Linked DNA regions of Oryctolagus cuniculus. Each later gene encodes a partner of the first gene's protein in a complex. Links are inferred from orthologs where the notes say so. Each region holds a gene or a part of one and is shown on either strand. Other genes may lie near its edges.

Region 1 (9,528 bases):
CACTCTGAAGGCACTGCTACACAGTCAGGGCTACAGGCAGATTTTCATGACGGATGTCTCCACTTCACTCTTCAGGTATAAACTTTAAGGACTTTGATCAAAGGAATAAAAAAAATAAAAAAGAGGGAATGCATCCAAATAAATCCTGACATTTAGAAACATACTCAACACTCAGAAGCTAACAGTAGCAAAAAATAAAACTGGCTGATCCTTAAAGCAGCTTCATCAACACCATATTCTGGTCTTTCCAGGGAGATGATATTATTAGGGTTGGTGGAGAAATGCTTTCATTCTAGAGTTCTAAGGAGCACCTCTAGACAGCCAGCAGCCTCTAGGTTAACTGCAGCCATCAACCTGCCCAGCCCTCCCCCATCCCCAGTCTACTAAGGACAGAGGGAAGGGTGCTTTGATCCAAAGGTGTGCATGAATGAACCCTCCATATAGTCTAAATTGGCCAGAACATTCCCAGGCTTCCGAGTCTCTTCTTGCTCTCCAACTGTTCAGCGTTCAGTACAAGATGTATGCCCCTTGTATCAAAAAATGTTCCATCTGCAATCCCTAGAATTCTGTATTTACCCATTGTGGTTTTCCTCATGTAACATTGTTAAGTAAATCACAAAAATCTGTTTGGTCATCATCTGTTCTCAACAGAATATTAAAAATTCACTCTGCTAAGTGCATCATAGAGAAAAATGTCTGGCAAAAAGACAACAGGGTTAAACCACCCACTACATGATAAAAAGGTAATCAAGATGACAACAGGTTTTTTTCCTTTAAATTTTCACTTTGGGCAAGACTGTTCCATTCGCAGTGTACCCAGCACAGAACTGTAATATACAGGATCAACTATGTGATGCATTTGTAACCAACTGGCTCCAACAGCCACATACAATTTTCAAAAGATCATGATTTTATGTGCTGTAGATAAAAACATTACCTATCCCTCTGGCTCTTATAATTTATTCATTATTATCAGATCCCAACTTCTAGCAGGAGGGTCACAAATAAAATCTTTCATTCAGCAAATACTTTCTGAGGGCATTCTATGAGTTAGAACATGTACAACAAGCTGAGATTTAATAGTGAACCAAATAGACACAATCTCCATGCCTACAATCTTGCAGTGCAGAATAGGAATAAAATCTACAGCCATGCATGTAATTCAGTTCAGAAAACCAAGACCGCATTCATTTAACATTGACCTAAACTTTGCCTTCCTTCTCTCACTTCCTTCTCTGCCTCCCCTTCCTGCTCTCTCTTCTCTACCTCTCCCTCCCTCTCCCTCCCAAATTCGCAAAATCTTCCTATTTGATGATTATGATCTAAACAGAAAAGATGTCAAACATGCATAAAATAAGAGCAGGTTAAGAGGGGAAAAAGTGTATCTTCTAGGAATTGAAAACAATTTCACAATGAACATCTATAACCCAAGGCAAGCATTTGGGACAACTTGTTTTACAGACCTGAAGACAAATTAATATTAAATGGTGTGGCCCATGTACTACTGAAAGAAATATTTAGTGAATTCATGAATATTAATCAAAGCAAATATAATGTACTTTTCACCTAGAAAATACATAAAAACAGCAGTAAAGTTAAAACAGAGCATGCTTTTGTATGTCTATGTAGAATACAAAGTTTCCTTAGGTGTCAAAGAAAACAATCACTAAAGTAAATAAATTAAGAGAATAATTTTAAGAAAATATGAACTCAGAAATTAAGAAGATATTCTTAAGGTGGTAGATTTCAGGGTTCATTTTTAAAAAGATTAAAAATTAAAATATGCAAGTACTGCAGAATAAATTTGGAAGACATTACCATAATGGCTGGATATGAATCAAAACAGCACAAATTCTACTGCCACACTTCTGTGTCGTCAGCCAAACACTACTTTCCTTCTCTAATTCCTCCATATTATTAATATATATTAAATAGTTGTGTGAACAAATGCAAGGGTACACACATTTATCCCTACCACACAATTCCTTTAAATGCTGCCATGTCTTAAATTAAAATTTACTTTGAAAATAATTTTATCTTGCATTTCATTTACTATAAGGTTGATTCCTCCATTTAAGTAGGTAGTTTAAAATACCAGATCTTTAGACACTCTGAGAGAACACATTCTGTAACCCCCTCCCTCGGGGTAGGCTCTGTGTAAATGAAGGAAGGATCGGGAAAATTCAGGGTACTCATCAGAGCAGCACAGCAGAAATCCCTCTGCCGGAAGCCGCCCCGTTACCCTTCCCTGCTCAGCTCAGCCCTCGGCTCCCTCCTGGACTCACCCACCATTCACACACAGGCACACATCTACATTCAGCACCTATCTTTACCACGTGAGTAGTGTGGGCACTGCACTGGTTAAGTCACAAAAGCCACACGCCTAGAACATGAAGTAGGAATTCCTAACGATGTGTGAGGATCAAGCTTCTGTCAGAGAGATGCATTTTCAAATGGCACTCATGAATGTAGATGCTCAATTAATATCCTATTTTTCTACCACTTCTAATGGGCCATAGTATGGGGATGAGGTGGGCCATATGAAACCCTACTGAAATGTCTAATAAGAGCGAAGTCTCCACACCACCACCACGTAAGCTGTGAAACTGTACCTTACATTTTTCTTTCCTCAGAAAATGATCTCCCGGTTCATTCCATAAAAGCACAGCACAGGGCATGTAATTAAGCCTCTATGGAAGTGTTCTTCCCTCTTGGGCATTCAAACCCAGGCCCTCTGACAAAGCCCCTGTGCTAAGGCACAGCTGCTGGGAAACCCAGAGCTGTCATAGTTCAGGCCAACAGAGCTGACTGCAGAGACCTTAGACGCCCTGTTCACAGCTAAACAGAAACAAATAAAGGCAGTAAACAGGGCAAAAGGAAAAGAAAACCCAGCTCTTCAAACAAGTCTCTCTTCACCACATGTTTTCTCCCCTGAATTCTGTATTTAAACACCTTCCCTTGTTCTCTCCACTTTCTTCTCAATCCCGAGAATTCAGAAAATGTTCAACCTCCAAAATGAGAATAAAATTTAAAAAAAATATATTTTTTTAAAGAACCTCACTTTCCAAGCGCAGTGTTTCCCTCCCCCGGCTTCACGGCCTCAAGCCCACCTCTTCCCCCCAGCCCGCTGCCTTCTGTTCCTTTATGAACCTGTGTACATTTGTCTAACAGGGCTTCAGAAGGAAGACACACAGCCCGGCGAGCAGAGTAGCCATTCGTAAGTACGGGTGGCCCTGTTATTTTGTTCCTGTTTGCAAAGGATCCAGTGCACGAGCAGTTGAGTCCCCAAAGACAGTTGGTTCTCCAGCAGATGGAATGCTCAAGATAAGAGAGGGAATACAGGCTTCTGCCACCCGAACTGCCCAGACCACACTCTCTCCTGTCGGAGACGCGCATTTATTATGCACACACAAACACGCAGAACACAAGTGCAGACGTCCTCCAGGCCTCTGCCGACCACAATAGCTCCGGGTGCCCTCACGCTGGCTTGTCTGTGAACCCTGGTGGCCTGATTCCGAGCATTCTCTCGGAGGTAATCATCCATAGACGCCTATTCGAGAGACGGCATTCTCTTGCTAACTTCGCGTGAAAGCAGAACGCGGGGCTGTTGATTCAGAGACCAGAGGGAAATTTTCCTTTGCAGCCCTGATGCCCAAGACACTACAATGCTGTCCGTTTCAAACAAAAGGTTTCTCTCTTTCCCCCGGAGAGGGACGGAAAGGCTGCGGTACTGTTGTGAATTCAGGCCTAGATCTGGGATGCCTCATTAGACAAAAGATACCCGTCGCTGTCAACAACCACGCCAGCCACGCTCCCCTCGCCCCGGTCCTAATCCGGAAGGAATGGTGCAGCCGAGAAGCACGCCTGCCACCATCCACTGGCCAAGAAACTCTGCTGGGCCCCTCCTGTGGGTGGCCTGGTGGCTGCAGAAGAACACTCGGGTGACACACGGGGGCTTGCCCGCCCTCCCCGCCCCCACCCCACGAACCCCTGGCTGGGGAGGGTCGACCCCTGCTGGGCTTCTAGTTTTCACCCCTGGGGATCCCACTCGCCAGTCTGCCCACCGGTGGCTCCCCCACTTCTCCTGGACCCCAGAACGCACCGATAATGGATGCACAACGGCCACCTCACGGCGCGCCATCTCCCCCCCGCCCGCCCGCGCCCTGTGCCCCGGCTCGGCTCGCCACCCTCCGGGCGACATACACACACACACACACACACACACACACAGCTCCACCACCCCTGGGGGCGCGGCGGCCCCGGCGCTGCAAGTTCAAGCCCTCAGCCCACCTTCCCAGCCCCGCGCCCCTAGCCAGATCTGATCTGCCATTGAGCAGAGACACCGCAGAGAACGCAAGCCCCCCCCACAACAAGGGACACACAAGACAGCACGCGCCGAGGCACCCAACAAGGCAGCCCCGAACCCTCCGCGCGCACGGGCGTGTGTGTGCGCGCGCGCGCGTACCCGCGCGGGTGCGGGTGGAGGCCGGGGGCGCGCCCGGGGAGGGTAGGGGCGAGCCCGGGGGCTGGGGGCGGCTGCCCGGAGGGGCCGGAGGCGGGGGCTGGGGGCGCGCAGAGGCCCGGGGGAGGGCCCGCACGGCCGGCCCGGGCCGTACTCACCCAGTAGCAGCAGTTTGAGCTCCCGGCGGGCGTCCCGCTTGTCCCTGCGGAGCTGCCGCTCGATCTCGTCGTTGATCCGCCGGGCTTCCTTGGCCTCCTCGCTCAGGCAGCACGCCATGATGGACTCCAGAGTCATTCTTCCAAAGTGCCTCCGCTGCAGCCCCGCCGGCACCCCCTGCTCACACGCGCGCACACACACACCCTCCCGCCCTCGCTCCCCCGAGGCAGCGGTGGCCGCTGAGCCCCCGCCGCCTGGGCGCGCGTCCGGGATGAGATCGCGGAACCGCCGCGGGGGCGACGGCCAGGGCCGGGGCCACCAGGTGGGCCGGGGTCTAGGCGGGCGCAGGAGGCCTTCGCCGCCCGGCGGAGCGAGGCGGGCGCGGGAGGCGGCCGCGGGCGCTGGCTCGGGGGGCGCGCAAGGGAAGGCCGCCGCGCCCGGCCTCGCTCAGACGCCCGCGCCTCCTTCCCCGGGAACGGGCAGCCCGCCTCGCCCCCCGCGCCGCCGCCGAGGCTCCCCTACGGTTTGCGCCCGGCGGCGAGAGCACATCCACCGGGGCGCCCCCCTAGCGAGCGGCCGCCGACCGCTCCCCGCACCCGGCGCGCCCGCTCCTCGCCGCCGCCTGACACGGCTCCCGGGCGCCCGCGGCCCTGCCCGCGCCCACCGCCCGGCTAAGCGCGCAAACCCCGCTCGCCGGCCCGGCCCGCCGCGCGCTCCTCCGCCTCCGCCTCCGCCTCCGCCTCCGCCAAACGCCCACCCCCGGCCCCGATTGCCAGGCGCGGAGCGGCTGCTCAGTGATCGCCCTCCCCCTCGCCACACACACACATTTTCTTCTTTCTCTGAACTGGAGCACAGATCCGGGAGGGAGGCGGCGGCGGCGGCGGCAGCGGCGGCGGCGGGAGGAGGCGGAGGAGGAGGAGGGGCAGGAGGCGGAGGCGGAGGGACGGGCGCGGGAGGCGGAGCCGCCCGGCCCCTCTTGGAAGGCTCTCCCTGGGCTCGCAGCCGCGCGCCGCGCCGCCCAGTGCGGCTCTCGCCTCGCTCGCGCAGCTCCCTGACTGGGCCGGCCCCCTCAGGCTCCGCGGGCGCCGCCCTCTCCCGCGCCCTCCGTGGAGGCCGGCGGGCTCCGGCGGACGCAGCCGCCCTCGGCTAGGGGCAGGGCCCGCTGACAGCCGCTCGGGTTGAGCGGGCGGCTGCGACCGCGGGCCGGAACCCCGGCAACCTGCGGCCGCCCGGGCGTGGTGGAGCGGGAATATGGCGGCCTCCGCCTGCCTCTCAGCCCACCAGCCCCGGAGCGCCGCCTCGGCCCCGCCTGGAAGCCGCGGGAGTCGGCCCCGAGCCCATGCACCGGCTGGCGCCGGAGACCCCCTGCCCGGCTCCCCGCTGGCAGCGCCGGAGACCCCCTGCCCGGCTCCGCGAGGCCGCTGTGCGGTGGCCTCTGTCTTTTCCCGAGGTTATTCCTCAAACGCCATTCGGTTAGAAGCTGCCTCTCGTCACTACTGACCCCAGTTGAATCTTAGAAAATACGATTCTCTCCGGGTGGGCTGTGGCCGGAGAGGAGTGGTCACTGCCTCCCCGAGGGGTAGGGGGCGAGGACCCTGCAATTCACTTGAGATAGAAATCTGAGCAGAAAAATGAAGCTGCCCAAGTTGCCGGGAGCTTCCTGGCAGGCTCCAACTTTTCATGCTGTTGAGGTGATTTTGGTTTTGGTTTTCTGTTGTTCTTGTTTCCGTTTTACAGATGCTCCTCGTTTTTGAAAAGGCACGCGATGTTTTCACAGCCAAGTCACCGAATGTACCCTGCTCCACCGAGATGGAACTTATGGGTGGCTTCTGGGAGCATGTAAATCCGTGCGGGATGAAAGAAAAGAATAAAAAATTTTAAATGGGAAAATCAAGATTTGTTTCTAGGTTTTTTTTTTTCTTATTTTTCCTTTTCCACTTCCGGTTAAGTTTATGTAAAAGTGTTGCGTATGTGTTTCGTGGTGATCTTCCCGATAAGTAACAACAAGAAGTTTGCTCCTTCAGGCTTGATTTGGCCTGAAAGCTGCAAAAAGCCAAGCTCTTCCGCCTCCAGCCTTGATGGAAACCGAGGTCTTCAGGGTAAATGGTGTTTTCTGAAGAGAATCGCTGTTCCACGTTTGCTGGGAGATGCTCCTGGTGCCACGGCTGTGCTACTGCTGCAGGCCAGGAATGCACCCTGGGTTCATGGACACCAGGTGTGCGACTTCCTTCCTTCATTTATCATTTCCTCCAGCCCTTCACACACACTCCAAGCCAGCACTTAGATTAAGCAAGCCATCAAAACATAAAATCTATATTTTTTAAAAGGATTTTTGGCCAAGGAAAATGATTGAGTTTCACCTTGGCCAGGAGAGTAGAATGAGCAAATTTATACGAATGACTACAAAGAACCACTACACTTGCTATGGAATGAAAATTTAAATATCAGTGACAAAAGAAATGAAAAGAATGGCATTCAATATGCAGTGATGTAAAATGGCTTCACGGGAAAACCTGATATGGTTGTATCCTGTAATACATGGATATATGTGAGTAGGAGAAATACAAAACACTGGAAACCAAATAGCTCTCTTGAGCTTCAAATTGGGTTTCCTAGCCTAGTGTCCTCTGAGACTTGAAAATGTCTTTCAAAGTGTGCCAGAAAACTATCAGAAGACTATCAGTACATTTGACCTATTGCTTGATGAAAGAAATTAAACTGCTTCAACAGATCTCAGATATAAACTTTTGTCATCCCCTATTCTCAGCATCAGAGACATACCCTGGCTGGCTGTTACTAGATATATGAATTGTCATGACAAGTATTAGGAACAAATCAAGAAGTGAGGAAAACCAAAACTCTAGTGATAAAACAATGTCTAGGTGTCAAGAAGGAAGCAGGAAAAGAAAGTCCTAATCTGAATGCAGATGAATCCAAAAATTCTTTGATATTATCTGGAAAGCATGTGCCTAGCAAATATTCCTACAACCAAAATCAAACAATCCATGCAGAAATTACTGATGTTGACTCTGTCCTAGAAGCGTTAGGGAACTAAACATGGATCCTATTACAAAATTCCAGGTTTTTAATCAACAAGCATTTACTCATTACCTACCCTGTATCAGTAACTAGTGGTGAAGGTCCAAGAAGACACGCCTACTAAGATAAGATATGGTCTTTACCCTCAGTAGGCTTAATAGTCTAAAGGAATAATGAGCCTCTGAACAGCCAAAATGAAACACAAAGTGAAGTCAGGTTGTATTAAAGTTGTGATAGAAGTCACAATGTAAAGAAAGAAAAAGGAAGGAATAATTCCTTCTGTCCTCCCAGGAAAGGGGACGTTTGTACTTTAAAGAACAAGTAGATTTTCCAGAAATACATATCACATAAAAGCAAATTAGCAATAGACAATAGACCATTTTGAAAATTCAGGGCAGTTACCAGAGACCTCAAAAGCAAAGAACAAAACAGTAAGAGCATTGAACTTTAGGGGGAAAAATGGTAAAACCTTCACGTCTATGGTGCCCTGAGAAGGACACCCACCCCCACAAGCACATCACTGTGTCCCTAGGGGACTGGAAAAGAAAACAAAAAAGGCATAGTTCAGTCTCACACAGTGGTTTTGCTCTTCTAAAGGCATCTCCTGGGGAAGAAAACCTGTAGGGGTAATCCAGACACGCCTGTGGGGATGCTTCATCCTTATCTCTCAGCCCCCCTCACCTCCTCCCTCCCTCCCCTTCCCTCCAGGATCAGGAGCCGCTTGAAAGCCTGGACTTCAGCTTTCCTGACACCCAAGAGCGTGCCTAGCCGAGAACAGATCCTCAGTAAGTGATGGATAAACAAAAGAATGCCACTCACCTACATCATCCACAAACACGCTCGCAGACTGCCAGTGCAGGCAGTGTCTTATGCCAGATGCCCGAGGCATACAAAGTCGTTAAAGACTCTATAATCTATTTGGGCAGACAGTCCTCATGCATAAAGGAATACTCCACAGACTGCAGAGTTCAGGAGGAGGACCAGTTACATAAGCCACCATTCAAAGGAGGGTGGGAAGGCACATGATGGTCCCCTGAGAGACAAATTAGGGGGCAGGCGTTTGGTACAGCACATGAGTAGACACTTGGGATGCCCGTATCCTGTATTGGAGTGTGTGGTTGGAATTCCAGCTCTTTGACCTCCCTACCCAGCTTCCTCTTAGTGCTTACTTTGAGAGGCAGTAGGTGGTGGCTCAAGGGCTTGGTCATCGCCCACCCATGTGGCAGACACAGATGGAGTTCTGGGCTCCTGGATTCAGCCTGGTGGGCTTTTGGAGGGTGAACCATGGAAGATTCTCTCTCTCTCTCATGTGCCTGCCTTTCAAATACAATGAGAAATTTTTAGAAAGACCAGCTGGAAATCAACCTGAAGCACCGCAGGTCCTACAAGAGCTGGGAACTAGCAGCTCTGTGCAGGCCTTGCAGGCACAGCTGCCTGTCCAAGGTATACAAGGGGCTTGGTGGAGATGTAGGCCCAGAGAGGCTCAGAGAGCTTCAAATGGCGCCACCTAGGGGAAAATGTTCGAAAGAGCTAAAAGATGATTCTTTAAGCAGAGCTGCCCAGATGAAAGGGTTTCAGGGCCAACATGTTGAAAATAAAGAACTAGAACCACAATGTGTTCTTCTGAAAGAGAAAACACCCTCCAAATCCACCTAACGGATATACTTGGTGAAGTAGAGAACTTCACTGACATCTTTCTCCTACCTTGTGCATGAAATACATACAGGTGATTTCTCTGGCTCTTGTCAAGTAACTATTTCATGCTTATGCAAGATCAACTTTATTATGGGTTGTATTGTACTTCACAGATGGAAGACCATTAAGACCCCACTAGATCGTAAGTCCCTAAAAGGCTGGTCTAATGGGAGTTA
Region 2 (9,090 bases), on another chromosome or scaffold:
CAGCCCTGGGAACCCAGGACAGCCCGCACAGAGAGCCAGTCAGACTTTCAGTGCTTCGGGGCTTGGTTCAGAAAATGAGAGGGCGGCAGGGCGCCTAAAACAAGCGCACGCCGGCGTCCTCCGAGGAGCCTGTGCTCGGCCCGACCCCCCAGCCCCCAGGGGCGCCGCTGGCCGCTGGCCTTGCTTCTAAGATTCAGCTGCTCCGGGAGACTCCCGGGAGTCCACTTCTCAAATCCCTCCTTCCACACCTGAACTCGCACACTCGAGGGCTTTTTGGAAATGAGTCAAGAATAGGACCAGGTCACCCACCCAGGGCACTACCTCGTCACTCGGAATGTGGCGCAGGAGCGGTGGTGGGGTGCAGTGGCTAGGCGTCACACGGGATGCCCCTATCCCCTATCGGAGTGCCTGGGTTCACGTCACACCAGATCCAGCTCCCTGTTAGTGCACACCCTGCAAGGCAGAGATGGCCAAGTCCTTGGGCCCCTGCTGCCCATGTGGGAGACCCCAGGAGTTCCTGGCTCCTGCTTTGGTCTGGCCCTTCCCCGGCTGTTGTGGCCATTTGGGAAGTGAACCAGCAGACAGAAGATCTCTGCCACTCTGCTTGCCAAATCAATTAAATAGCGTAACGCTCATATTCTCTACAAACTGTTACAAACGTTAGCTGGCTCTGGGACAGGACAACAGAAACAGGTGGCGGAGTGGAAGTGGCTTCATTGTATGCTTTGGTACAGCTCATATCATAAAAATACTAATTAAGAAACGGCAAGGACCAAAGATCTCCCCGGGGTCAGGCCTCGGACCTGCGGCGGCTTTCTTACCTCACATCCAGCACCTCCGATGTCCCATCTGTGAAACGGGCCCGATCTCCCAGGATGCTGGGAGACACAGGGCAGGGCAGGCCAGAAAGCAAAGCCTGGAGTGGCGGTGCAGGCAGGTGGCAGGCAGGCAGCCTGCGGCCGTCACGGCACAGCAGCACCCTCGCGGGGAGGCCCCGGTCCACGGGCCCGCTGCGCCCTGTCTGTGCCAGCACTTCCTGTGTGCCGGGAGGCAGCCTGGCTGCAACGACACCATAGGATGATGTTCCGTGGGGCCAGGGCAGCAGGTGAAGCCACCACTGAGTTCGCACACATCCCCATCACTGTGCTGGCTCAAATCCTCACTGCTCTGCTTCTCACCCGGCTCCTGGCCAATGCACCTGGGGCCTGGCAGATGATGGCTCAAGTGCCTGAGTCCCTGCCACCCACACCGGAGACCTGGCTGGAGCTCCAGGTTCCTGGGAGTCCATCAGCAGATGGAAGACTTCTGTCTCTCCTCCCCCCACTGCCTTTCAAATAAATATGTTTACAATCTTGAAAAACAAGAACAAGGGAGTGGGGTCTATTTTATAAAAGAGTAACATGGACTGGGGCGGGTGGCACAGGGGGATAAAACCCCAGCCTGCGGCACTGGCATCCCATGTGGGCACCAGTTCGAGTCCCGGCCGCTCCACTTCCAATCCAGCCCCCTGCTAACGCACCTGGGAAAGTACAGAGGATGGCCCAGGTGCTTGGACCCCTGCATCCACGTGAGAGATCCAGAGGAGGCTCCGGGCTCCTGGCTTTGGATTGGTGCAGCTCCGGCCATTGCAGCCATTTGGGGAGCGAACCAGCAGATGGAACACCTCTCTGTCTCTACCGCTCTCTAATAAAAAAAAAAAAAAAAAGAAAAAGAAAAAGAAAAGAATATCAAAGGAAAAAGAGTAATATGAACGATGGCCTCTCTCTCTCCACACCGTCCCAGCTTCTCCTTGGCACAACTGAACCGCGCACAGTGGGGCTCGCTGGAGTCCCTGCTCACGCACACAGTGGACCACGGACTGGGGTAACAAGGGGCCCCTGAGCACAGGCGCTGTGACCCCACCAGACCTCCGCCAGGCACTGGGCTCAGAGACGGCAGGATGACTCACGGCAGTGCAACCTGTCTCACGCCACTCAGGACACTGCCCAGGTCACAGCACATGAGCTGCTGGCCTCTGGACTTTTCCATCCGCACTTGCGGAGGGGAGCTAGAACCACGGAGCTGTAACCACAGCTGAGGTGGGACAACCGTGATAGCGACAGTGCCACGTGCTTAGGGTGCACAAACACACCACTACTCACCCTGCAAAGTCACGAGGAAGGCACAGCCAACCTGCCTAGTAAAACCAGGAAGCACCTTCCCCACGGCCGCGGGGTCAGAACCTGGCCCGGCTCGGGACCTGCGCTCAGAGCCGACTCACCATCCCCTCACCATCCCCTCACAACTCCCGGGAGGCAGACCCGGGCAGACGCGGTACTCTGGCAGAGACATGACTTGGCGAGCACTGTGAAAACTCAAAATCCCCACGTAACTTTTGACCTGGCCACTCCACTTCCAGAACCTTCCCTGCCACTCTCTCTCCACAAAGCCTGCACACAGCGTTCGAGGCAGCAGGGACGGCCTGCAGCACACCTGACAGTCTGCCGCCCTGAACACAGAGGTCTCCCACACGCCCTGAGAACCAACAACCCTTCCCCCGCCCCATGCCTCCCTCAGAACAAAAGGAAACAGCACAGAGACGATTTGTAAAAAAATTCATTTTTTTTATAAATCAGTAGCACAATGAAATAATCATTCTCAAACTGTCACGACCACAGCGGTGCAGTCGGTTTGGAGTCAAGCACCCTCAAAACGCGCCGCAAGCCCATTGTCTCTGGTGTCATTTTCCAAGCAGACGGGGTGCAAACCCAGACACCCTTCCCCCCCCCCCACAGCGAGTGAACACTGACCACAAACATCCCAACAACTCTTTACAACACTAAACGGTGAAGGATACTGCCAGTTGCGGTCTGTAACTCAGACCAGAGTCACTTACAAGTCCAACAGAAGCAGAGTATACAATGTTTAAAATCCTCCAATAGCCAGAAATAAACAAAGCCCAAAGGACTTAAAAGGAAACAATGTATCAAAAAGGCAACAGATTTCATTATGGGGTGAACATAAAAGAGACACAGAAAGTTCTGGGCTTTCAAAAACCATTAGCGCACCGGGAGGAGAGGGGTTCTCCAACCTCCGGGGGCTCCGATCGGCACAGCCTTCCAGACACAGATCCGGGGCTGCTCCAGCCTTAGCTCGCCTGACTGCTTCCCACCTGCTCCGCGGTGACTGCTGATGGCGCAGTGAGAGCACCCGGCACCGCAGCTCACAGACACCGCCTGGGCCCTGGCGCCGGGCGGCTCCTGCACCTCTCCGGGGCTTACATGCCTGTGAGCTCAGCGATCGGGGTGGGGGACCACCACGGGGGCCCTCGGGGCCAAGGAGACCACAGCTGACCTCTGACAAGAGAAATGGCGGCTGGGCCGGGAGTGTGGTCTTCGCGCGTCTGACCTGGTTTCTCCGACTTCCTGAGAAGTCTGCAGCTGGCCACGCAGCGTCAGGGAGCGTCTGGGCACATGGTCCCTGAGGCGGACACTGGCGTCACGTCCCCGCCACGCACGTGGGGACGCACTGGGCCGTGCTGAGCGGCAGGGGCCGGGACCGGAGATGGGGACGCACTGGGCCGTGCTGAGCGGCAGGGGCCGGGACCTGAGCAGTCAGCGGACGCTTGCGCCTGAGCTCTGGGGGCTCAGTAGGAGGTTTTGACGCTGGTGGAGCTTGAGGAGTAGGAGCTGGACTTCCAGGAGACCTTCTGGGAGCTGAGGGACACTTGCATCCGCTTCACGGTCCGCACGCTGCGACACAGGAGCGCGTTCTTGGCGTGGTCCCGGAAGTCCTGCGACACGAAGTAGTAGACGAAGGGGTCGATGCAGCTGTTGAGGGTGGACAGGCAGAGGGCGCCCAGGTAGAGGGCGTACACGTGGCTCTGGCCCCGGGTGCGGATGAGGAAGTAGTGCACCACCAGCAGAAGGTTGCTGGGCGTGAAGCAGATGAGGTACATGGCCAGCACGGTGATGACCAGCCGCACGGCTCTGCGCCGCTTCTTGCCCGAGTTCTCGTCCATGGCCGAGGAGCGGAGCGTCCTGATCATGAGCACGTAGGCGGAGGCCGTGAGGAAGGCCGGGAAGAGGAAGACCCCGATGGCCAGCGAGAGGAAGTAGCTGAACATGTCTCCCACCAGCACGTCCTTGGGCAGCACGTCGTGGCAGGTGGTGATGTTCAGGGCCGGGATGTGGACGGTCTGCCGCACGACGTACAAGGGGATGGTGACCAGCAGGATGAGCAGCCATATCCCCAGGGAGACGCCGAGGGCCAGCCTGGCCGCCCTGCCGGGGTGCACCATGGGGTTCACGATGACCCAGTAGCGCTGCACGCTGAGGCAGGTCATGAAGAGGATGGAGCAGTACATGTTGCCGTAGAAGAAGCCCACCAGCACCTTGCACAGGGCCTCCCCGTACACCCAGTGGTTGCCGTGCACGTGGTAGGCGATCTTCAGAGGGAACCAGAGCACCGACAGGAGGTCGGCCACGGCCAGGTTGGCCATGTAGATCACGGCGGCGTGCTTCTTCTTGCTGCGGAAAATGAAGACCCACAGGGCCATGGCGTTGCTCGGCAAGCCGACCACGAACACCAGCGTGTAGACCACGGGGAGGAAGACGGTGGTCAGCTTCCCCCTGAGCACGGACTCGGAGAACTCGTCCACGGAGAGCCCCGGCTGCACTGGGACGCCCTTCCCAGTGACGGCCGAGGAGCCGGTGTTCCTGCCGATCAGACTCCGCCCCTTAGAGGTCTTGTTGGTCCCTGTGAGAGACAAACAAGGTCATTGCCACGGAGACGCTGGCTCCTGGCTCCTGGCTCCTGGCTCCTCTAGACACAGCGCCCGCTCAGGGGCTCGCTTTGGGGGATGGCGCGACTGGGATGTTCTTGCCTTGGTGCTTTTTATAATACGTGATTTTTTTTTACAACTTATTTATTTAGATTATTTATTTTAGATTTATTTAATTAGAGAAAGACAGACAGACATATCTTCCATCTGCTGGTTCACTCCCCAGATGGCTGCAATGGCCAGGGGTGGGCCGGGCCAAAGCCAGGAGCTTCTTTCAAGTCTCCCACGTGGGCAGCAGAGGCCCAAGCACTTGGGGCATCTTCTGCTGCTCTCCCAGGCCACTGGCAGGGAGCTGGATCGGAAGTGGAGCAGCCGGGACTGGGACCGGCACCGGTAAGGGATGCGGCACGGCTGGCTGCACCACAGCGTGGGCACCGACAAGTGTTTTTTTTACTGGAAGTTCTTGTGAAGCCCCCCAAAACACCGATTTCTGGAAATCACAAAAAGACCAGTCCTATCTCAATATTTTTTTCTAACAAACTGCACCCACCCATTGGCTCTCAACTACTTGGTAGAAATCCATCCAGGCTGAGCGGGAACTGCCTCCCAAGCCCTCGAGAGTGTGAGACAGTACGTCCCGCCCAGCCCCTGTCCCAGGGCAGCCTACGGCCACACCTGTCCCAGAGTTCCACCAGCATACGGGACAGCCCCTCTGCGCCCAGCACGGGGCAGGGATTCCCCTCCTCCGCGCTCAGGCAGACAAGCCCTTTGGCCCCCGGTCACGGGGCAGGAGGGGATGCTGATGACCAAGTCACTCTGCCTTCCAGCATAGCTCCCCCTCCCTCCCCGCAGGATGAGCTTAACCCCAAAACCACAAAGGAATCCACAGGCACACTACCCAAGCAAGCATCCACAGACCACCAGCAGAGGGAGCGAGAGCGTGGGGCGGAGTCAAGAATTCACTTTAACGCCTGAGACCCGGGGACTTCCTGCGGCTACCACCAGAGAGGACAGCCAGCCCCTCCTGCATCTCCCTCAACCCCCCAACCACCCTCCCCACTGCCACCATGCACCCCTCCCTCCCTCCCTCCAGATCCCCTGGGGACCAAGGGTGCTCACCATGGGTGGGGCGCTGGACAGTGATGGGATCCATGACTCACCTTCCACTTGTGCAGTCTGGCAGGTGGCCCCCAGAGAGCAGCCCAAGTCTCGTTTCCCGTAACTGAACCTGGCCTTGCTCGGGCAAGGGGCTCTGCAGGCGTCACTAGGAGCTCTGAGATCACCCAGGGGAGCCTAGCCTAGGACAAGGGTCTCTGAGAAAAACGCAGAGGGAGGTGGAGACAGCAAAGGAGACATAGGACAAAGTGGTGTGAGAACAGACTGACGCCAAGGTCCGGCCAAGGAATTCCAGGAAAGACCAGGATATTTCTAGGAAGGCCAAGTAAATGCCAAGAGCCGCCAGGAGCCGGAAGCATCAGGTGCAGACTGTCCGGGAGCCTCAGAGGGAGTGATTTCAGACTTGCCTCCAGCAGGGGGAGGGAACCCATCCCTGCTACAGGAAACTCACACGCTAGGGGCTAGGGACAAACCAATCGCTACTGCTCCAACTGCATTTGTAAGTTTTCAGATAGAATCCATCATGTTCAAGTAAAAAGGAACATGCCTACACACTACAGTGCCTTTCAAATACTTGATCACAACTTACAGGAAGAAACACGTCCACTCCCAATACATCTATGCATAAAAATGTGTCACAAAAAAACTAGGTCCTCCATCGTATTACCCAGGGTGCATCCTGATATGGTCTATTACCCAGGATGCACCCTGACGCTCTGTATTTCCCAGGGTTCACCCTCATGCTATTTCCCAGGGTGCACCCTGATGGCCTCTATTACCCAGGGTACTCTATGGTGCTATTTCCCAGGGTGCACCCTGATGGCCTCTATTTCCCAGGGTGCACCCTGATGGCCTCTATTACCCAGGGTACTCTATGGTGCTATTTCCCAGGGTGCACCCTGATGGCCTCTATTACCCAGGGTGCACCCTGATGGCCTCTATTACCCAGGGTACTCTATGGTGCTATTTCCCAGGGTGCACCCTGATGGCCTCTATTTCCCAGGGTGCACCCTGATGGCCTCTACTACCCACGTGCACTCTGATGTCTCTCACACTATTCTAGTCCATTCTTACCCAACACCAACCACCACACTGACTTCACTGCATGCTCCACTTATTTGTTTTCCAGAGTAACTAGTTCTCGAGTGCTCCAAGAACTAGCATGCACCTGTGATCCTCGCCCCGGCAGAGCGGCAGGAGTGGCTGTGACAGCGTGCACGTGGCCTGCTGGAGGCGCGGTCCCCAATGTGATGGGACTGAGAGGTGGGTGGGTGCCCTCGGGAAGCAGCCACGCTGGCCTTACAGGGTACGTCAGCTCGCGTGCTGTCACACCAGAGCACCTCCCCTCTTGCCACGTGGCCTCCCCCAAGGCACCTCCTGCCCGGGACACATCGCCAGGCTGTGATGTACCCAGAAGGGCGCTTCCCCAGAGGCTGAGCAGATGGGGCTGCCCGGCCTTGGACGCTCCAGCCCCTGGAATAGGTCTCTTTCCCTGCTTACTGCCGAGACTCAGGCCTTGGACAGTCGGAGTCGGACTGCAGCATCTCCAGTTCCAGCTGTAGAGTCGCTGAACGTGACTGCGAGCCCTGGACCATGCACGCGGGGAGACGCACCACGGAAGGACTGAGCGAGGCTCAGGGGCGCACTCAGCGGCCATTCCTGCCAGGCCATGGGCTTGGCCACCTGACAGCAAACCCACGCCCCGGCAGGGTGACGGCAGTGAGCTCTGGAACATGAAACTGTCTCAGTCCCGTAAGCGTCCCCTCCCAGCAAGGCCCAGCATTGCCTCCAGCCCTCCCAGTCCATGGCGGCCTTGCAGCAGGGACCACTGATACAGCCTCACTGCCAGGCAGTGGACAGAGGTCACCCCCACCAGCCCGTCTCTAAAACCCACGACCCTAACCACGCCAGCCTCCACAGCCTCGCGGGGGCTCCACGCTGCACTCCACAGGGACCCACGCAACTTACAGCTCCAAACAGAATATTCACACTTTCTAATTTGCCACTTTAAAACCCACTCTCTGTAAATGACCTCCTGTGTTTACATCTTGCCTTGACCTGAAGCCCGTCAGGGTCTCTGGGCTCCACCTGACCCCCGACGTGTGGGGCGAGTGGCAGAGCTGCAGCAGCCGCAGTCCCCACAGGAGAAGCCATTCCCCCCGCACCGAGCCTGCTCCATCCAGGGCACTCCCAGTGCGCCACGGTCCACGACCACCTGGCCACGACCACCCGACCACAGAAAACCGAAGTGGAGCTGCTGTGCCTGAGGGTGAGAGGAAGCAGGGAGGTGACCTTGGCAGAAAGAGGACCTGAATCCAGAGCCACTGACCCTGCAGCCGCCATGCCTCCCACTCAGTGGCTGAACCCAGAATCCGGAACTTCCCACAGTCTGGGGGCTGGGGGAGGTCAGGGTGCAGCCTGCAGGGCCTGTGCCTGCCCCGTGGGTCGGCTTACAGACTTGTCTGCGTGCAGAAGGGACGCTGACCCCAATCTTGAGGGCTCCACCCCATGACCTAATCACCCCAGGGCCCTGACATCCAGACAAGCACCCGAACCCCAGCACCCAATCAACAGGAACAGTGGGTGACAGACGCACTGACACCCCGGCACGCAAAGCCCAGGGCCCAGCTTCTCACATGTGAGCTACACAGCGGAAAGTAAGGGTGGGGGGCAGCTCAGATTCACAGCCTTAAAGGACCCATGAGATGATGTCTGACTTCTCGTGGATTGGCCAGGGACACAGCACTGAAATAACACTTAGGAGACAACGAGACATTTAGATGCCGAGTGTTTGATCACGTTAAGGAACTGCTCTCAGTAGGTACCGCAACAGTGCCTGGTTGTGCTTAAGCGAGACCACAGCTGTGGGCACTGCGGTGCGGCCGATTAAGCCGCTCGGGATGCCGTGGCCCCCACCTGCGTGCCATTTGCGTCCCAGCTACTTGGCTTCCAATCCAGTGCCTGGAAAGCAGCAGGTGATGGCCCAAGTGCTTGAGCCCCCGCCACCCGCGTGGCAGATCCGGGTGGAATTCCTGGCTCCTGGCTTGGGTTTGGCCCAGCCTGGGTTGTTGCAGGCATTTGGAGAGTGAGCCAGGGGATGGAAGATCTGTCACCCAGCCTCTCAAATAAGCAACCTTTTCAAAAAATAAATAAATGCCTCATGTGAGTTCACTCTGAAATGTTTTAGGATGAAATTATCCATGAGACCTGTG
Region 3 (9,090 bases), about 150 Mb from region 1:
GAGGTTGGCAGTCAGGGGCCACGCCTGCCTGGAGCCCGCACCCCTGGGCCTGCCGACCCCCGGAGGCTCCCCAGCCCTGCCCAGGCCCCGCCCCGCCCCGCCCCGCCGCAGCCCCGCCCCGCCCCGCCCCGCCGCAGCCCTGGGCAGGATACTCCACGAACTCCATGGGGCTCTTGGTGAGCTGCTCCATGGCCTTGGTCTCCACAAAGGACGACATCTCGAAGCACTTGTTCCTCTCTGCGGGGGGAGGTGGGGCCGCGTCAGGCCTGGCGGGGGCGCGGGCCTCCTACCCCACCCCCCACCCCCGCACTCACTCCGCGCTGCCTCGAAGGACTTGAACTTGACAGGCTCAATGTAGTTGACCAGCGTCGACATCTCCTCCGTCGCGTTGACCTCGCTGCTGGCCGTGCCCTGTGACCCCAACCCCGTGTCAGCGGTGCCGGGAGCTCCCGCACCTGCTCTCCCAGAGAGGTGCTGACCCCTTCCCCGGGCCCTCGCTGCCCGCCCCTCCCCGCCGCCCAGGGCTTCGGGCACTCACGCGCTCCCAGCCATTCCTGCCCATCACCCCCCTGCTGCTCCCCTCCAACTCTGGTCCAGTGAAGGCGACTCTGGGCAGCCCCGCCATCCATCCCCTCTGGGCCCCCAAAGTCAGAGCTCACGACAGCCAGTGGACAGACACGAGACGGGCGGAGCTCACGACAGCCAGTGGACAGACACGAGACGGGCGGAGCTCACGACAGCCAGTGGACAGACACGAGACGGGCGGAGCTCACGACAGCCAGTGGACAGACACGAGACGGGCGGAGCTCACGACAGCCAGTGGACAGACACGAGACGGGCGGAGCTCACGACAGCCAGTGGACAGACACGAGACGGGCGGAGCTCACGACAGCCAGTGGACAGACACGAGACGGGCGGAGCTCACGACAGCCAGTGGACAGACACGAGACGGGCGGAGCTCACGACAGCCAGTGGACAGACACGAGACGGGCGGAGCTCACGACAGCCAGTGGACAGACACGAGACGGACGGAGCTCACGACAGCCAGTGGACAGACACGAGACGGACGGAGCTCACGACAGCCAGTGGACAGACACGAGACGGGCGGAGCTCATGACAGCGAGTGGACAGACACGAGACGGACGGAGCTCACGACAGCCAGTGGACAGACACGAGACGGGCGGAGCTCACGACAGCCAGTGGACAGACATGAGACGGACAGAGCTCACGGCTTGCCCACACCTCTGCCCTCCCCGTGACACCAGACCCTGCCGCAGCACCTGCAGCTCCTGGCGCTCAGCCCCGCCCCCACCCACACGGAAAGCCTGATTGACACTCGTTTCCATGCCTGTTTACCTGAGCCTCCTCCCTCCCCTACTCCCTCCCCCAACACACACGCCCTCCAGGAGGGCCTGACCATAGCGCTCTCAGCCCCTCCCCCGCCACCCTGCCTGGACACCGGACCTCGTCCGTGGTCGGCTTTTTGGGGTCTGCCTGTTCCTCGTCTTCCTCCTCCTCCTCCTCCTCCTCACGGTCAGCATAAGGGCCCCGGCTCGGGCCCTCCTCACCCAGGGACTTCCGAGGCTCCAGGCTGGGCTGCTCCAGTCCTGCCTCCTCCCCATTGCTCAGGCCAGGGCAGCTGTCAGAGCTGGGGGACCCTGCAGAGGACAAGGGCCACACGCAGATGCCCGAGGTGTGCCCAGTGCACATGGTGGGGACATCGGGGTGGGGGTGGGGACTCTGCACAGGGCAGTGTAGCTGGGGACAGGAGAGGCCAGGGGTATCAACCCACGGTAGTTCAGGGTCATGGGTCAAAGGTGAAGGTCTGAGTCACATACAGCAGGGGAGGGGTGAGAAGTCAGGAGCTGGGTACAACAGCCTTAACGGCCGGGTGCAGGATGGCCTGGGAGGTCGGCGGCCCGGGCTCCATCAGAGGCACACCCAGCCAAGCAAGGGGTCAAGGGGTCAGAGAGGGACCCCCCACCCGCACAGAGGAGGGCAAAGGTCAGCTGAGATGAGACCCAGCGAAGTGCATGACAGTCAGGGAGGTCCCAGCACGGGGGTCGGGGTCACACCCAAAGCGTGGGGCTGTGCTTCGCTGAGGTCAGAGGTCAGAATTCAGAGCCCCAGCTGGGTTGGGCGATGGCCCCCCGGGAGTGGGCGGCTGAGGGGCGTAGCGAGGTGGGGCCGGGCCTACCGAGCTGGGGCGAGGAGGGCTCGGTGGCGGCTGAGCCCTCGCTCAGAGCCGAGTTCCTCTGCTCCAGTGGCCGCTTGCGCACCGAGCTGTCGGGGCCGCGAGGGCTGGGCCGGTGCCGCTTCTTGTTCTTTACCAAGATGCGGCCCATCAGGTCCTGGGGGCTGGGCAGGGGCACGCCGGGGGCCAGCTGGGGGGCACAGAAGGGTCAGGGCCCGCCGGGGCGCCGCCCACCTGCCCGCCGCGCCGCCTCGGCCCCAGGCCCCGTACCGGGTACTTGTCCAGCGGGTCGATGAGCAGGGCGTCCCCAAAGATGGAGCGGCAGTACTCGGCCATCTTGGCCTGCTGCTTCGCCCTGCAAGGCCGAGGTCAGAGGTCAGAGGTCCCTGGGGGCAGCTGCACACAGGACAGGTGAGCGGCCCCGGGTCGGTGGGGGAAGAGCCGGGGGGGGGGCCGGCTCGGGGCCCCCACTCACGAGTCCACGTGGTTCTCGAAGGACAGGATGACGGGGTAGGGCGAGGTCTTGAAGGCGGTCTCGGCGATGGCCTCCAGCACGTCGCGCAGCGGCACCTCGGTGGTCATGGTGAAGCCGTGGGTGATGAAGGGCTCCTCCTCGGGCGGCCGCCCCTTCCACACGTCCAGCTCCACACAGCGGCAGCCCCACAGCAGGGCCTGTCGGTACATCTCCACCGAGGACGTCCCGGCCAGCTGCCCCGCTGGGGGCCAGGGGGTGTCACCACGGCCACCCGCCCGCCACGCCCTCTGCTCCCACCACCACCCCGCTCTAGCCAGTCCCCAGCCAGTCCTTAACCCCAGGAGGCCCCAGCCCCGCCCTCCCTGCCTGCAGGCAGCCCCCCACCCCCCACCCCCGCACTGGCTACTGAACAGGCAGCTGTGCCGAAGGCCCTGCGTGCGCCCAGCAGGGGGTGAGGGCGAGGGCGTGGGCTCACCCGTGAGGTAGGTGTTGTGCGAGGAGTTGATGAAGTAGGAGCTCAGGGGCTGGGTCATGTCCACACTCAGGTCCAGGGCTTCCAGGGGCAAGATCCCGTTCTCCTCCCCGCCCAGGTAGCGGCTGAAGCCCTCCATGGACATCTGATCTGGAGCCGGGGTCAGAGGGTCAGCTGGGGCCCTCCCGCTGCTGGGAGCACCTGCACCCCCCACTCACCTCACTCCCGGGAGTACCTGCACCCCCCCACTCACCTCACTCCCGGGAGCACCTGCCCCTCTCACCTCACTCCCGGGAGCACCTGCCCCTCTCACCTCACTCCTGGGAGCACCTGCACCCCCCCACTCACCTCACTCCCGGGAGCACCTGCCCCTCTCACCTCACTCCCGGGAGTACCTGCACCTCTCACCTCACTCCCGGGAGCACCTGCCCCCCTACTCACCTCACTCCCGGGAGCACCTGCACCCCCCCACTCACCTTCTCCCAGGGCACCTGTGCCCCCCTCACCTCACTCCCGGGAGCACCTGCCCCCCCCACCTTCTCCCAGGGCACCTGTGCCCCCCCCCACCTCACTCCCGGGAGCACCTGCACCCCCCCCTCACCTCACTCCCGGGAGCACCTGCACCCCCCCACTCACCTTCTCCCAGGGCACCTGTGCCCCCCTCACCTCACTCCCGGGAGCACCCCCCCCACCTTCTCCCAGGGCACCTGTGCCCCCCTCACCTCGCTCCAGAAACTGCTGGTTGGGCTCGTACTTCTCGATGAGCAGGCGGGCCTGGGAGGGCCGCAGGGGCGGGTACAGCACTTCGTTGAGCCGCGGGTCCCGCTGCTTCTGGTTGATGAAGTCCATGAGCTGCTCCAGCGTCAGGTACGGCTTGCCCTTGGCGCCGCTGGGGGAGGAGGGGACGGGGGGTGCCGGGTCAGGCTGCAGCCTCGCCAGCCCCGGCCCTGGGAGACAGAGGGCTGCAGCTGCCCCCAGCGTCCGCTGGCTGGGACACGGGGCCTCGGGTGCCCCAGCAGCTCTCCTGACCGCTGGGTGCCGTCGGGGCGCCAGACGAGTTGGCACTCAGCCACCGTCCCAGGCCTCGGGTCGCCTCCAGTCCTCCCGCACTGCGTGCTGGACCTCAGGCAGGTGCGACGCAGCGGAGCCCTGGGCCCTCGTCCAGAGTGGACTGACTGAGGACAGCACCAGAGGAGGCCAGCCCAAAGCTGTCCGGAACAGGAGCCGCGGCCACGCCCCCGCCCGGCCCCTGCTGCTCTGGCACGGGCAGCACCCTCCCGCGCCCGGGGCTGAAGGTGCACTCAGCAGAGGCCGGCCGGGGGCGCCGGGAGCCGGGGGCAGGGCCCAGCCCCACTCACATCTCCAGCAGAATCTTGTCGATGTCCGGCCGCAGGCACAGCTTGTTCAGGAACCGTTCGAAGATCTCCAAGGAAAACTCATCAGGCCGGATGGACTCACTCTGGGGGCCGAGGGGTGTGTGGTGAGACCCCAGGGACGACAGCCAGCCCTGGGCTGGGGCGGGGGGCACCCTGCACCCCACACACCCGGTTGAAATTGAGGCCACAGGACTCCAGCGCGGTCTCCACCCGCTTCTTGTCTGCGGAGAACATCTTCAGGATGCTGTAGGGGGGGTCAGGGTCAGTGCCGCCGGGGTGGGGCAGGAGAGGCTGTGGGGGGGAGGGGGTGCTCACTTCTTGACTGGGATCCGTCCATCCTGGTTCACCTGCAGCTTCAGCTTCGTGTACCTGGGTTGGGGGTGGCGGTGGCAAGGTCACACCCGGGGATGCCCACCTAGACCCCTCCCCCCAGCGGCCCAGGCTCACGCTTTGCGCAGGAAGGTGTTCCGGGAGGCGTTCTGAGCCAGGATGTTCATGGCCAGCTTGAACAGCTCCTCGGACCACACCTGGGGGCAGCACGCACGGGGCAGGGTGGGGTGGGGGGCCGTGGTGAGTGGGGGCCGGGGGCCAGCCCAGCCACGGCCCGCACCCAGCAAGTCAGAGAGCAGCAACTCAGCCAGGGGGGCAGAGACCCTGGGGGCGCCCCCAGCCCCAGCTCACCTTGGCAGTGTCTTCCTGCACGGCCATGAAGTTCAAGAACGTGGTGTTCACCGGGTCCGGCCCGGCCACCACCGTCATCAGCTTCTCCTCCAGCCGGGCATCGGGGCCCCCGAAGCCCAGCACCTCCCGGATCTTGGGGTCCTGAGTGGAGGAGGGCCGCGGGTGAGCAGGCGCCCCCAGCCCGGTTCTCGTGCTCCGTCCCGGGCCCTCACTCACCTTGGGCAGGCGGGCGTAACGGCCTATCCGCGTGTCCCTGATGGAACTGATGTCCAGTGTGTCCACTTCCTGGGGAACCAGAGGCCACGGTGCGTCTGCGAGGCTGCAGGCAGGAGCTAGGAGCCCCCCAGGCTCCACACCCAGCAGGGAGTGGCCACCTCCTGGCTGTGGCCCCAGCCTCAGCCCCCACCCTTAGCACTTCCTGTCTGGGGAGCCGTGGGAGAGGTCAGAGCCAGCCGCCGGGCCCCACCCCCAGCAGTGGGGGTAGAGGTTCAGGCAGGGCGCAGGTCTGGGGCAGGGGCCCTGGGCCTAAGTGAGCCGCGCCAGCGCCAGCCCTCACCATGTTGGGTCCCGTCCAGTACAAGAAGAAGCCATTGGGGTCCACGCGCAGGGTCACCAGGTTCCGACTGGAGGCCTCCTGGGGACAGCACAGGACAGCCAGGGTCAGGGAGTGAGGGCTGCTGACCCCTCCAGCCGCCACGCCACGGTGTCCAGTAGTGGCCGAGACAACGCCTGCTGCAGCCACACACCCCCCCCCCAGGCTGCCCAAGGCCCTCAGGACAAAACCAAGATCCTGGGTGCGGCCTGTGTTCTGGCCCCAGCACCACCCTAAGGTATGGCCACCTGGGTCACTCACTGCCCTATCTCCCTTCCTCTTTTTTTTTTTTTTTTTTTTTTGACAGGCAGAGTGGATAGTGAGAGAGAGAGACAGAGAGAAAGGTCTTCCTTTGCCGTTGGTTCACCCTCCAATGGCCGCTGCGGCCGGCGCACCGCGCTGATCCAATGGCAGGAGCCAGGTACTTATCCTGGTCTCCCATGGGGTGCAGGGCCCAAGCACTTGGGCCATCCTCCACTGCACTCCCGGGCCACAGCAGAGAGCTGGCCTGGAAGAGGGGCAACCGGGACAGAATCCGGCACCCCGACCGGGACTAGAACCCGGTGTGCCGGCACCGCTAGGTGGAGGATTAGCCTAGTGAGCTGCGACGCCGGCCTCTCCCTCTTAATCCCGGAAATCCAGCCCACCTCCCTAGCCCCCGCCCTGGGCTCCGCGGACCCCAAAGGTCCCGGGGCCCTGTGACGGTTGGAGCCCCCACTCCAGCAGCCCACCATGGAATATTGACGGGACAGAGGCTGCAAAGCCTGACCCCGCCAGCTGCCGAGTCCCATGGGACCCTGTGCTGCCCAGGCTCCCCGAGGCTCCACCTTCCAGAAGCGCGAGTCCCTGGGGGACGCTCGCCCCGCCTCGGAACCAGGCAGGGAGCTCCGGCTCGGGTCGTCCCAGGGGCAGAAGGGTCTCGGCCCCACTTTCTGGGGGCCCAGTCCCCGGCATACTCCACGGTCACCGCGTGACTCCGAGAGCTGGGAGCTGGGAGACCTCTCCCGCCTCAGCTCCCGCGCACCCCAGGGGCCACCCCCAGCGGGCCGCTGTCTGGTGGGCGATGCCGGCATCACCACGGCCGCCCTCCGCCCTCGCAGCTCCGTGCCAGTGCGTCCCCACTGTACAGGCCGCGAGACCAGGCCGCCCGTCTTGCTGCAGGCCCAAGGCAGGGACCCAGAGGCAGAGGAGCAGGACCCTGCGTTCCCCACCTCAGTCTCCTCATCCGCAGAACGGGACAGCGCCAGCCCCGCCCAACCTTGCTTACAGAGACCGGGGATCAGGGGTGGGGGTGGATCTGGGGACAGAAGGCACAGGAGGCCCCTGGAACTTTTGGGGTACATGGGCCTCCCCAGCTCAGGGTGCTGACACCCAGCGCCAGTCCTGCTGGGATCCCCAAGGCTGCCCTACAGCTGAAGCCCCCAGTACTGGGGGGGGGGTTCTGTGGGCACCCCCAGGCCCCTCCCCAGCCCTTTCCCGAGGGTCTTGCCTTCCAAGGCAGCCCAGGCCCCAGCCCGGCAGCCCCAAGCCCTTGGCAGCACCCCTACCCCACCCCCAGGGTCCTCTCCGGGCCTCCACTTCCTTATTTGGGTTTATCAGACTGGAAGGCAAAGGAGAAACTTCTCCCTTCTGGCCCGCCTTAGGGGAGGGGTCTCCCCGGGCCCCCCACGGGGCGCCGGGGCACCCGGGCCGGCACACCTGCCGCCCGGGCCACGCCCCCAGCCCCTCCCCCCAGCTCCCACGCCTACCCGCCCCACCCAGCCGGAAAGGAGCCGAGTCTTCCAGGCCTATGGCCTGACTGGGAAGGAGCGGCGAGGAGCCGGCCGGCGGGGTGGAGGCCCTGGGGGCCAGAGAGGGGCGGCGAGACCGTGGGTGGGGCTCAGGCCGCGGGCGGCAGCGCAGGTGGGAGCTTGGGCGTCCGGGGAGCGGCGGAGGCAGACAAGGGGAGAGGGCTCGTTGGGGTTCAAAGTCCCGAGGCTAAGGAGGGGGAGCAAAGTTCCCGGGGTGGGTGAACTTGGGGGGTGACGCGGGGCGCCGGGCCCGGGCACCAGCCCAGGAGGGTGGGGAAGGTTTGAATGGGCCAGCGGGGGCCCAGCGGCGCCCACCAGAGACGAGGATGCCCCCAGCCAGAGTGGAGGTCGGGGTCCTCCAGCCAGGGAGCCCCGTGCCGGGCAGGGGTGTGGGGGCCATGCCGAGGCGGGGAACCAGAATTAATGTGACAGGAGTGAGACCAGCGCGTGGGGGGGCTGCATTTATTGGGGTTCAAAGTCTCGGCGCGAGGAGCGGAGGCCAAATTATCCGGAGCTGAGAGACGGGGTGTCTTGGGGGGCAAAGTCTCACCACGGGGACAACTCGGGGCTTGGTTCCTGGAGCGCAGCCAGGCTGGGCCGGGGGGCGCCCGGCCAAGCTCGAGTGGAGGAGTCCCCGGATCTGGGCGGAGCAGGGGGGCCGCCGCTCTTACCTCGTCCCATTTGATGAACTTACTCCCGCGCCGCAGGGTCTCCACCACGGTGGGCGGCTCCAGCTGCAGCGCGTGGACGCCGGGCCTGGCGCCCGCCATGGCCGGGCCAGGGGCGGGCCGGGGACGCACGGAGCCCCGACGGGGACCGACGGCGCCGCTGCTTCGCCCGCGCGCTCCCGCGCGGCCCGCTCCAGCCCCGCGGCGTCAGCGTCCGCCCGCCCGCCCGCCAGTCTGTCCGGGACCGACCAGAGACTCGGCGGGGCCCGGGCGGGGCGGGGCGGGGGCGGGGCCCGGGCGGCACCGCCCCCTCCCTCGGCGTCGGGCCCGCCCCCTCCCGCGCCGGCTCCCCCTGGCGGCCGGGGCGGTGACTGCAGCCGGAGTGGGCATTGAGGCGGAGGGCCGCGGGGAGCAGTGCGGGGCTTCGCTGGGGTGGCTCAGCAGGGAGTGATTCCTTAGGCTGTCGGGGCGCAGCTGGAGGGATGGGAGAGGGGCCGCTGAGGTTTCTGAGATACCAAGCAAGGGTCTAGTGGGGGGCGGCCCTTGGGCCAGGGGAGGCAGAGCCCCGCCCCTGCTGCTCTTAGCTGAGTGCAGAGAAAGCCCACCCCCTCTCGGTGCCCTCACTTCGCCTCACCCCCTCTGGCAGCAGCGCTGCGCCCCTCCCTGGGAGCACTTAGCAGGCTAATGGGCCTCCCGCGGGCAGGCGGCCCTCCCCCACCCCCATCCCTAGGAGCCAGGCACCTGCCTCCTCTGAGGACCTGGGCATCCTGGCCTCCAGAGTGAACCCTGGCACAGCCCCTTGCTTGCGCCGTAGACCCCTAGACCGGCGTGGCACTGCTGGC

Evidence for each region.
Region 2: the proteins of guanine nucleotide-binding protein G(q) subunit alpha (region 1) and F2RL1 are in contact, whole or in part, in a cryo-EM structure (PDB 9D0A), measured with the Homo sapiens proteins. The link is inferred for Oryctolagus cuniculus from reciprocal best matches to the Homo sapiens genes GNAQ and F2RL1. Residues at the interface, in NP_002063.2 of Homo sapiens: Arg37, Ile323, Tyr325, Asp346, Ile348, Leu349, Gln350, Asn352, Leu353, Glu355, Tyr356, Asn357, Leu358, Val359; in NP_005233.4 of Homo sapiens: His108, Pro109, Ala110, Met114, Gln172, Arg173, Val176, Ile177, Pro180, Met181, Gly182, His183, Ser184, Arg185, Met265, Met268, Leu269, Met274, Asp275, Asn277, Lys280, Lys281, Arg284, Ala285, Leu288, Ile289, Tyr344, Tyr345, Val347, Ser348.
Region 3: the proteins of guanine nucleotide-binding protein G(q) subunit alpha (region 1) and PLCB3 are in contact, whole or in part, in a cryo-EM structure (PDB 8UQO), measured with the Homo sapiens proteins. The link is inferred for Oryctolagus cuniculus from reciprocal best matches to the Homo sapiens genes GNAQ and PLCB3. Residues at the interface, in NP_002063.2 of Homo sapiens: Pro185, Thr186, Thr187, Ile189, Glu191, Pro193, Arg202, Gln209, Arg210, Ser211, Glu212, Arg213, Arg214, Lys215, Trp216, Ile217, His218, Val240, Glu241, Glu245, Glu249, Glu250, Ala253, Leu254, Arg256, Thr257, Ile258, Thr260, Tyr261; in NP_000923.1 of Homo sapiens: Pro257, Arg258, Leu259, Asn260, Glu261, Val262, Leu263, Arg707, Asp709, Lys710, Ile719, Asp721, Gly722, Ile723, Val724, Ala725, Ser845, Asp846, Tyr847, Ile848, Pro849, His852, Tyr855, Ala856, Ala858, Leu859, Ile860, Asn861, Pro862, Ile863.

The regions. Positions count from the first base shown.
Region 1 is NC_091432.1:152,213,657-152,223,184, reverse strand, and holds the start of guanine nucleotide-binding protein G(q) subunit alpha, read right to left. Parts: upstream 4,948-9,528; 5' UTR 4,757-4,947; coding exon 4,621-4,756; intron 1-4,620. Other genes in the region: uncharacterized protein, read left to right, coding at 5,870-6,090, 6,356-6,461.
Region 2 is NC_091445.1:1,241,370-1,250,459, reverse strand, and holds the end of F2RL1 (proteinase-activated receptor 2), read right to left. Parts: intron 4,738-9,090; coding exon 3,626-4,737; 3' UTR 2,578-3,625; downstream 1-2,577. UniProt on the Homo sapiens protein: Receptor for trypsin and trypsin-like enzymes coupled to G proteins.
Region 3 is NC_091432.1:7,052,268-7,061,357, forward strand, and holds the start of PLCB3 (1-phosphatidylinositol 4,5-bisphosphate phosphodiesterase beta-3), read right to left. Parts: upstream 8,500-9,090; 5' UTR 8,351-8,499; coding exon 8,252-8,350; intron 5,833-8,251; coding exon 5,755-5,832; intron 5,484-5,754; coding exon 5,415-5,483; intron 5,340-5,414; coding exon 5,199-5,339; intron 5,045-5,198; coding exon 4,965-5,044; intron 4,887-4,964; coding exon 4,833-4,886; intron 4,762-4,832; coding exon 4,686-4,761; intron 4,601-4,685; coding exon 4,500-4,600; intron 4,031-4,499; coding exon 3,864-4,030; intron 3,292-3,863; coding exon 3,145-3,291; intron 2,911-3,144; coding exon 2,670-2,910; intron 2,550-2,669; coding exon 2,465-2,549; intron 2,385-2,464; coding exon 2,198-2,384; intron 1,659-2,197; coding exon 1,465-1,658; intron 412-1,464; coding exon 315-411; intron 238-314; coding exon 153-237; intron 1-152. UniProt on the Homo sapiens protein: Catalyzes the production of the second messenger molecules diacylglycerol (DAG) and inositol 1,4,5-trisphosphate (IP3).